Linked DNA regions of Oryzias latipes. The protein of the gene in region 1 purifies or fractionates together with the protein of each later gene. This does not show direct contact. Links are inferred from orthologs where the notes say so. Each region holds a gene or a part of one and is shown on either strand. Other genes may lie near its edges. The genes, in order: trmt112 and alkbh8.

What was found.
Region 2: the proteins of trmt112 (region 1) and alkbh8 purify together in Homo sapiens (co-immunoprecipitation; 3 studies listed by IntAct, with this or other methods). This does not show direct contact. The link is inferred for Oryzias latipes from reciprocal best matches to the Homo sapiens genes TRMT112 and ALKBH8.

Annotation. Positions count from the first base shown.
Region 1 is NC_019868.2:11,958,212-11,962,347, reverse strand, and holds the end of trmt112 (multifunctional methyltransferase subunit TRM112-like protein), read left to right. Parts: intron 1-59; coding exon 60-152; intron 153-3,111; coding exon 3,112-3,213; 3' UTR 3,214-3,450; downstream 3,451-4,136. UniProt on the Homo sapiens protein: Acts as an activator of both rRNA/tRNA and protein methyltransferases. Together with methyltransferase BUD23, methylates the N(7) position of a guanine in 18S rRNA.
Region 2 is NC_019871.2:20,772,722-20,776,970, forward strand, and holds the start of alkbh8 (alkylated DNA repair protein alkB homolog 8), read left to right. Parts: upstream 1-1,325; 5' UTR 1,326-1,353; coding exon 1,354-1,482; intron 1,483-1,622; coding exon 1,623-1,756; intron 1,757-3,201; coding exon 3,202-3,302; intron 3,303-3,391; coding exon 3,392-3,523; intron 3,524-3,735; coding exon 3,736-3,831; intron 3,832-3,961; coding exon 3,962-4,066; intron 4,067-4,249.

The DNA.
Region 1 (4,136 bases):
TATGTTGTGCTTTGTAGCTTTGATATGTTTAATTGTTTTCCTCTTTCTCCCTCTTATAGTTGGGTTATCGACAGGACCTGCCTGGTGAACTTATTGCAGATTACGAGCAAAATGAAGAGTTCCTGAAGAAAGTACACAGAGTGCTGTTGGAGGTATGTGACAGACTGCAGAGTCAGGGGGGTATTCCAGAAAGCAGGTTATGTGAGTTACCACGATAATTTTGAGGCTAAGGAAGTTGATAACCTCAGCTTTCGGTTCCAAAAATGGAGGTATGTTTCAGGGTCAAGTTGCCATAGCAACTCATGCGCTGAACATAGCCTGGTCTGGAGCAGGTTTAGTTGAAGGTTAGTTTGTTTTCAGAGAGGTGAAGCAGCATGCCGTGTCCATTTGAAGATGATTTAGATAATAATACTTTTTCCACCATGAGAGGGTGATAAGACCACATATGGATGTTGGAAATATAAACTTTTACTTTGATCTAACTTAATTATTTGCTTCAGCTAAGATAAATCATTTTTTGAGTTCAGTTCACTTAAAAATAACACATAGTTTTCAGACAGTTATGTTACTTTCATTCAAATTAATTCAATTAAGTAAGTGTAACTTTGGTGCTGCTGTTAGATCGGCACCGCAAGGAATTGTGGGAAACCATTCCCTTTGTCTGTCTGGACGGATTTAGGTTTAAGTGTGGGTTTTTGACCAAATGTGTTTAGTTGTTTAGCTGTTTTACTGTGTTTTGCCGAGTTATTTTATCCTCTTATGCGTGTTATGTTTAATTCTTTCTGCAACACGAGTGAGAGAGAGGGAGAGGATGATGAGGTTATGTAGCTTATTTAGCACAAGCAGTGCTGACTTGTGTCAAAACGTTAAGTTAAAGTCAGAGTCATGATAAATGATTAGATGTCGTAATTTTCAAGTCCACACTGTATCAATTATTTCAATGTTATAAAAATGAAAATATCTGCAGCCTCGAACTTAGACATATGAGAGTTCCAGAAGTACAAGAAATTAAGATGGAAAAACATTTAATTGAATTCGATTATTATGACATTTAGTTAGATAAATATGTAAATTTTATTTGTATATTTTAGTTTTATAAACAATTGTTGAGTTGGATAGACATAAATATATATATATTTCCCTTAAGAGCATTTTGCGTCACAATGAAAATAGAAATGAGATAGAAACTCGTGCATTTACTTTGTCCGTTCTTTTTCTCCAAGCAGAAACTTTCTTTTGCTGATGATGCAGCCGTGTTACTTTTTTGATGGTCTTATAATCTTCATACGCCGTCATTAAAATCTCAGACTCGGCCTCACTAAAGTACAGCGCTCTCTTTTGTGACTCCGGAAATCGGCGATCCATTGACAATGTCTTTATGTACTTGCCGTGCACGTGCATTAACCAAGTCGAGCGTAACTCATATTCGGTCTTTTGGAACCCACATACCCAGAGTACTGTAAGCAAGTTCAGGCGGATTTCAGCCAGAGTTCAGGGTTAAAGTCAGGGTAGTTTAAAAATGCTTTCTGGAATACCCCCTAGGAGTCTCTAAACCTGATCCCAGTGAGCTATTGCCCTGCTTGTTTCGCAGCTAACCCCTGCTTCAGTATTTGTGATTAGCTGGATTGAAGGAGCCCAGTTTCTGATTGACTGAACAAACCTGATCAGTCAGCAGTTATGCTGACTGTCCTCTACTTTTCCTTCTGCGCTGCAAAACTGTAAACACCGTCTGGTCTGAAGTCTAAGCAGCATCAAAGCCAGTAGTGACGATGAAAGAGGGTAATCTACTGCAGTGTATTTCAACCAGTGTGCCGTAGGAAATTGCCCTCATTAACTGATCTAAAAACATTTTTCATCTCCAGGAAATCAGCTCTTTTTTCATCCAAACAGGCCCTGATAAAACACTGAGTAGTTAGGAATATAAAAGATCTTAAAATTACTTTTTCTTTGTGTTTATTTAATTCTATTAAAGACATTTTGATAAGAATGACTGTACTGCGATTTACCTGCAGCTATGACAGTTTGCGGAAAAGTCCCGCCCATTTAACTGTCTCCGCCAATCATTCTTGAAGGCTTAATCACATGTCATCAGTCTGACCAATCAGAAGTGCTTAAAGTCTTCACTTCCTTGTTCTTAATTCTGCTGATAAAGTCGCTCAGTTCTAACAAAAGTACCAGCTAAAGCTCGTCTTTAGCGGTGTAGCTTTCCACAGAGTCCGGTGTCAGACCGTGGAACAAGTGAACAAAACAATGAAGCTCAGAGACACGAGTCTTTCTGCAATTTTTCGGCAGTTTTCACACTACATCTCCCATGATGCATTGGCTTAAAGGGCCAGTGTCCCAGCGCACAACGAGTTGTCCTTGTGAAACGTCTTGAAACCACAACAAACAAACAGTTTCTTAATTTTCTAATATAACTTTCATTTCATCTCTTAGAAAAAAACAGCCGCAACTTCCTGCTCTTCCGGCAAAAATGCACGTGAGATTGCGGGGGGGGGGGGCTCAAAAAAAGTGTGCCGTGGCTCAAAAAAGGTTGAAAAACACTGATCTACTGAACGTGTCTCACTTTCTCCCAGAGTTACCTGCTTTATGCTTTTGACAGATGAGCCTGCTTCATGCATGTCACATTAAACAAAACAACCTATTTAAAGTCCAACTCGGTTTATCTCTTAATCTATTTTAAAGCGTTCACAGTGTCCGTTTAATTATAATTGTGCCATTTTTCAGCAAAATTAATAAACCTGTAGTTTTCTAGAACATAGTTTCTGCAGAACGGCAGGAGTTCATTAGAAATTCACCACTTAAATTGTGTGTGTGTGTGGGGGGGGCTGTTGGTGCAGAGTAAGCCTACCCCCACTTCCTATTATCCATCTGTTTTTACACTTACACACTAGTTTACAGTCCCTCACAACCCAAACCTATAGTGAGCAATATTGACACTATCCAGCTTTGAGGCAGATTCCAGCTCAGACGAGGATAAAGAAGTACATGGATCTGTTCGTCTGCAAGTGGATGCTTCAGAATGGAGTATAGCAGGGAGCTTGTGGCCTACTGGTTGTAGTTTCTAAATTACAGCTACATTTTTCCTTTGTTCTCCGCTCCGCCTCACAGGTGGAGGTGATGGAGGGATGTCTAAAGTGTCCTGAATCAGGACGGGAGTTCCCGATCACCAAAGGAATCCCCAACATGCTGCTGAACGAGGATGATGCCTAAGATCTCTGTATCTGCAGACCAAACCTTTCCCCCCGTTAAGACTGTGTGCAGAGAAACAGACCACTCTGTTATTAGTTGATAGTGCTTTTAGCATTTCAAGTGTCAGATACCCAAAGAGATGCTGAAAAAACCCATCTGGAAATGTTTGAACAAAGTGAACCCTTTTTGATTTTATCTGTATTTATTTTTATAACTTGTTTTTCTTAATAAAACTGTCCAGATTTTCCTCACAGCTGCAATCTGTGGTGTTTTTTTTCCATTTAAAAAAAAAAAAAAAAAAAAGGAGCTGTTTGTGCTGCAGGCGAGCCAAAGAGGTGGGCTCTGAACTGAATCGGTCCTCTCTGAGCCTGATGACGTGGCTGCAGGCTGCCTGCATTTGGCTTTAAGCAGAAGGAGGCAGGCAGGGTGGAAGTTGTTTTGGAGGAAGTTTTTTTTTTTTTTTTTTTTTTCTTAAAGCCACACATTACAGCTTTTCTTTTCACCCAGTCTGGGTGGGATCCAGTGATTTGAGATGCACCATGGTGTGTCTGATTACTCTTAAGCTTGAGGACAGATTGTGGTTTGGTCCATGCTGATAAATTAAGTGTTTTCTCCACGTTCTGCAGCAGGGGTGGAACAAAAGTCTGTTTGCTTGCAGTTATCATTTTTAGAAACTCTGCCAGAACCAGTGATGAAAGGGGGTGGGAGGAGGGGGGTTTGACCAGAAGCCTGGAGGCAGCCTGAGTGTTTCCTACCTTTTCCTTCTACTTAGAGCAATTACAGGCCTGCACCCGCAGCTATAATAACGGTATAATGGTATGGCAGCAGAGCAGCAATAAAAGCCACCCCTGGTAGATTAATAGTCGTCCCTAAGTGTAAAGCTGTAATTAACAATGAGACCAAAGAGGAACAACAAAAAGTAAAAGAATAAAAAGTGAAAGATA
Region 2 (4,249 bases), on another chromosome or scaffold:
AAAAGGCAGACAATCAAAAAGACAATTGGATGTCCTTTTTAAAAAGGATCTGATTTAAGTGATCTTTGTTAGCTGAAGAGAAAATCAAGTGCTAACTTATTTGAGTGTTCGTTAAGGTTTTTACAAAATCAGAGAATCAAGTTTAGTTTTATAGCTGAATTGGTTAAAACACACAAAAATAACTGTGCACTTGAATCTTTCTAAATCTTCACAAAAAAGCTAGAAGTACTAACAACTTTCTAACTAATGCCCAATCATTTATGGAGGATTCAAAATAACTCAGAATAAGTATTTCCTGTATTATCATTGTATGCAAGATGAAATTATGATGCTCCTGAGATGTTAAAAAGAATGTATAAAAGCCACGATTAGAAATAAAAATAAATTGTAAATGTTACATTTATAATTTATTTTTATTTCTAATCGTGGCTTTTATACATTGTAAAAAAAATCTAAAATACATAAAATATATAATGCATATAAATAACCATATAAACGTCATGTCACATGTTGATTTAGAGTAAGTAATTTTTTATTATTATTTTTTTCTTTATGAACAAAATATTACATTTTTTTGACTGCCTACATTTAAAAAAAAAGCAGCTTTGGCCACGATGATACTCCCCTGTGTGTTTTTCAAACTAAAACTTTTCAAAAATGTTAAATTAAAATTAAGACATGAAGGGCTCCAACAACCGACAGTCTCTGTTTGATGTTGAGCTGTTTGAGTCCCTAAAAGGAAAACACCAACATGCAGCCTGGTCTGGTTCAAAAAGACTGCAAAACTGCTCATCTAAGTAATTAGACTCATAAAAGCCAGACATTTCAAGTCAGAATTTAAGTTAACAGAATTTAAGTGAAGTAGTACTTCTTTTATTAAGTATACTTGTTTAGCAAGTTTACTATAGACCATGTAGGAGTAGTGTAGGAAGTATACCAACTGAATACTTCTTCAGACTAAATAGGAACATTTTTAAGTTTACACTAAATTACATAAAAATTTAAATTAAAGTATACTACTTCACGCTTAAATAGACTACTTTTTGCTGAGGGGAAAAAAATGAAGTATGATCAGTGTTTTCAATAACTAGAAAATATGTTAACTCCTACGTTTGTGGTACTGAGTTTGTTTAATGCGTAACATAAAGTAATACTTTTTGGACAAAAGTAAGTAACATGTAAGTTTATATTTCTTGAAAGTAACTGGAACAAAAATTCTTTAAAAAAAATCTTTTTTAACACAACAATGTAAATCCCAGACGTCTTCAGGCCTTTTTATATGTAATACGTCATCATCCGGAACCTTATTCTTCCAATGCGTGCGTCGCACGGACACTTTTAGTGGACGGGACCATGAAGTCCGATCTGTCAACAGAGAGCAGAAAAAGTAAAGAGGAAAAGAAAGTGTTACGAAAACAGCTTAAAGCCAGTCACACTCTTTTAAAGCATGAAGGCGTCTGTACAACACCGCAACCAACCAAGGTAAGCTAAAGATAACTTCAATCAAAGCGGATATAAAAAAACGTTTCTGATCCACCTGTCGTGTCAGTCTATCGTAAACATAGTTTGTTTTTGTTTAGTGTCTATATTTTTTTAAACGTTGCTCCGTATAAATTGTGCAGAGTTTGGTGATCGCAAACGGCGGTCTGGGGAATGGCGTCAGTCGAGAGGAGCTGACTGCAGTGCTGCAGGAGATGGGAGAGGTGGAGAAGTTGTTGATGCCTCCACACAAACCCTACGCCTTTGTCACCTTCAGGTACACTCAACATCCCTCTCAGAGGAAACATGCCCCCCTACCTGCCAGTCAGAAGAAACCTTCTGTCTCTAGGTTTCTTTAAAAGTCACATGCATCATAAGAGCAAGTATTTTTACATGTTTCTAAAGTAAAAGGGGTTCATTTTAAAACGATAACATTTGTAATAAATAATATATACAGTATCGATGCAAATAATTTAAAAATAGATTTAATATTCAAGATAATTTATGAAATTGAAACCTAGAAAAAAATATTTCATAATCGTATTTCTGATCATATTTTTTGACTTTTTTTTTATTTGGCTTTCAACAAAATCAATTTCCTTCATTTATGTATTAAGATGTTTAATTTGGTTTTAGATACAAGCATTCAATTCTTACGGAACTGAATATTATACATCTTCTACTATGATATTATTTTTTTAACTGATTCTCAGTCATTCTTAAGAATTACTAATTTACTGTGTAAATGTCTTCAAAAATAGGAAAGTAAGAACGCTATAAAACTCGTAGATTGTTTATCTGTTTATGTAAACTATAGCACTTTTTTTCTTGTCACATTTTCTTTTCATTTTGTTGGTTTTTATAACTTAAAATGTATTAATTTGGGTCTTTTTTCCACTGCATTTGGATTCATTTGTTTTTTGGGAGGTAATAATGGTTGCCATATAGTTTGGGATTTTGAACGACTACATGTTCTGTGACTGGATTTGTCAATAAAGGAAAAAAAAACCATGAGCCAAATGAAAACGGGAGGCCATGCAAAAGCAGCTCCAGAATAAATTCTAGGCAAGAAAGTCAGGCAGGTGTTCCAGAGGCAAACACAACCAATTTACAGAAACACCTGTCAATTTGGAAAATGACAACAAAAGAAGAAAAAAAAATGAAAATACGAACAACAAGCTTGAGATGTTTGATTGACTTACAAGAAGAGAGAGACATTCTTAAGCCTTAGACAACCTCACAAATCATGCTCTTATTTTGTAGTAATGGGTCTGTGAACTGGGTTATTAACCGTAATCGTCACACAATGTTATAACTCATTTGAACTGACTGTAAGATTGTGTATGTGTCTGCATGGTTGAAGTTATCATTGCGTTTGTATGTTGCTAGTAAATTAAAATAAAGGTGGAAATTGTGTTTTATTTTATAAAATGAGTGGGATTCTTTAATAAAATTATTTTATATCACCAAATACTTTAGAAAAAGTATTTGTGCAGGTACTCCAGAAAAACTAAGCAGTCTGATTCAGTGTTATTAACCTTTTTCCCACTTAAAAAAGCAAAAGTCTATTTCTGAAATCTACCTGTTCATAGTTTTGTAATGCTGCAGATGCAGTTGGAGGAGCACCAAACTGCTGTTAAACGTTAGCTGCATCCTCGTTTGGAGCATGGAACTGTGGGCACAGATGTTGGTGTTGACCTCAGACTCTCATCCTGTTTCCAGATCTGAAGATGGCGCTCGGAAAGCTCACGCCAACCTTAATGGGTGGAAGTTGCAGTGTGGCGAGAGCAGCATCACACTGTACCTCAGTTACGTCGACTCAGGTGCTTGTCCCTTAAACAGCCTCTTAAAACCACCTTAAAAATTCCTCTTCATCATAACTATTTGTTCTACTCTCCATGTCCATCCACAGTAAAGTGTAAAGAGGGAGCATCTGTCCCTCTGCCAGAAGGTTTGGCCTTGGTGGAACATTTTGTGTCTCCAGAGGAAGAAGCACAGCTGCTCAATGTGATTGACTGGTCACCCACTCAAGGTGACGTCACTGGTAAACATATGTCCTTTTTTACTGTGAAAATGTTCCTAATCTCCTGTTTTTCCTGTGAAATGATTCACTTTTTACGTGTGCTTTTGAGCTTCAAGTATTGTACTAGAATGTAATTGGTTGACCTCTTATACTTGTTTATTTTTTTAATTAAAAGATAAAATCTGTTTGCACTTTCGTTTCTCTTTATGGATAAAGTTACAAATGTTTTTCAGCTCAAAAGTCCTTGAAACACAGACGAGTGAAACATTACGGTTTTGAATTTCGCTATGACATCAACAACGTGGACAAAGACAAACCGTTAGCTGCAGGTACAACTGCTATTTATTTGACAAAAACACTGTTTATTTCAGAGAAATTTCACAGATTAAAACCAGAGATTTATTGGGATTTTCACCGTTTTTATGGTGTGTGTTTGTGTTCATGTGTATGTGTCTCCAGGCCTTCCAGATGAGTGTGTACCCATTCTGCAGCGTTGTGTGGAGCAGGGACACACTAACGTCCTTCCTGATCAGCTGACTGTGAACCAGTATGAGTCTGGACAGGGTGAGTGACAGCAGTTTGATGATGTTACACACATTTTCTAAAAAAAATGGTAATGTTCAGATGTTAAAAAACCTTTTGGAATCTCTGGTTTTTCTATAAATGTTTTTTTTTTCAAAATGGTATTAATTAATGTGCAAACCTCACAGACTCTGGGTGAATTAAAGCATTGTTTTCCACATTAGC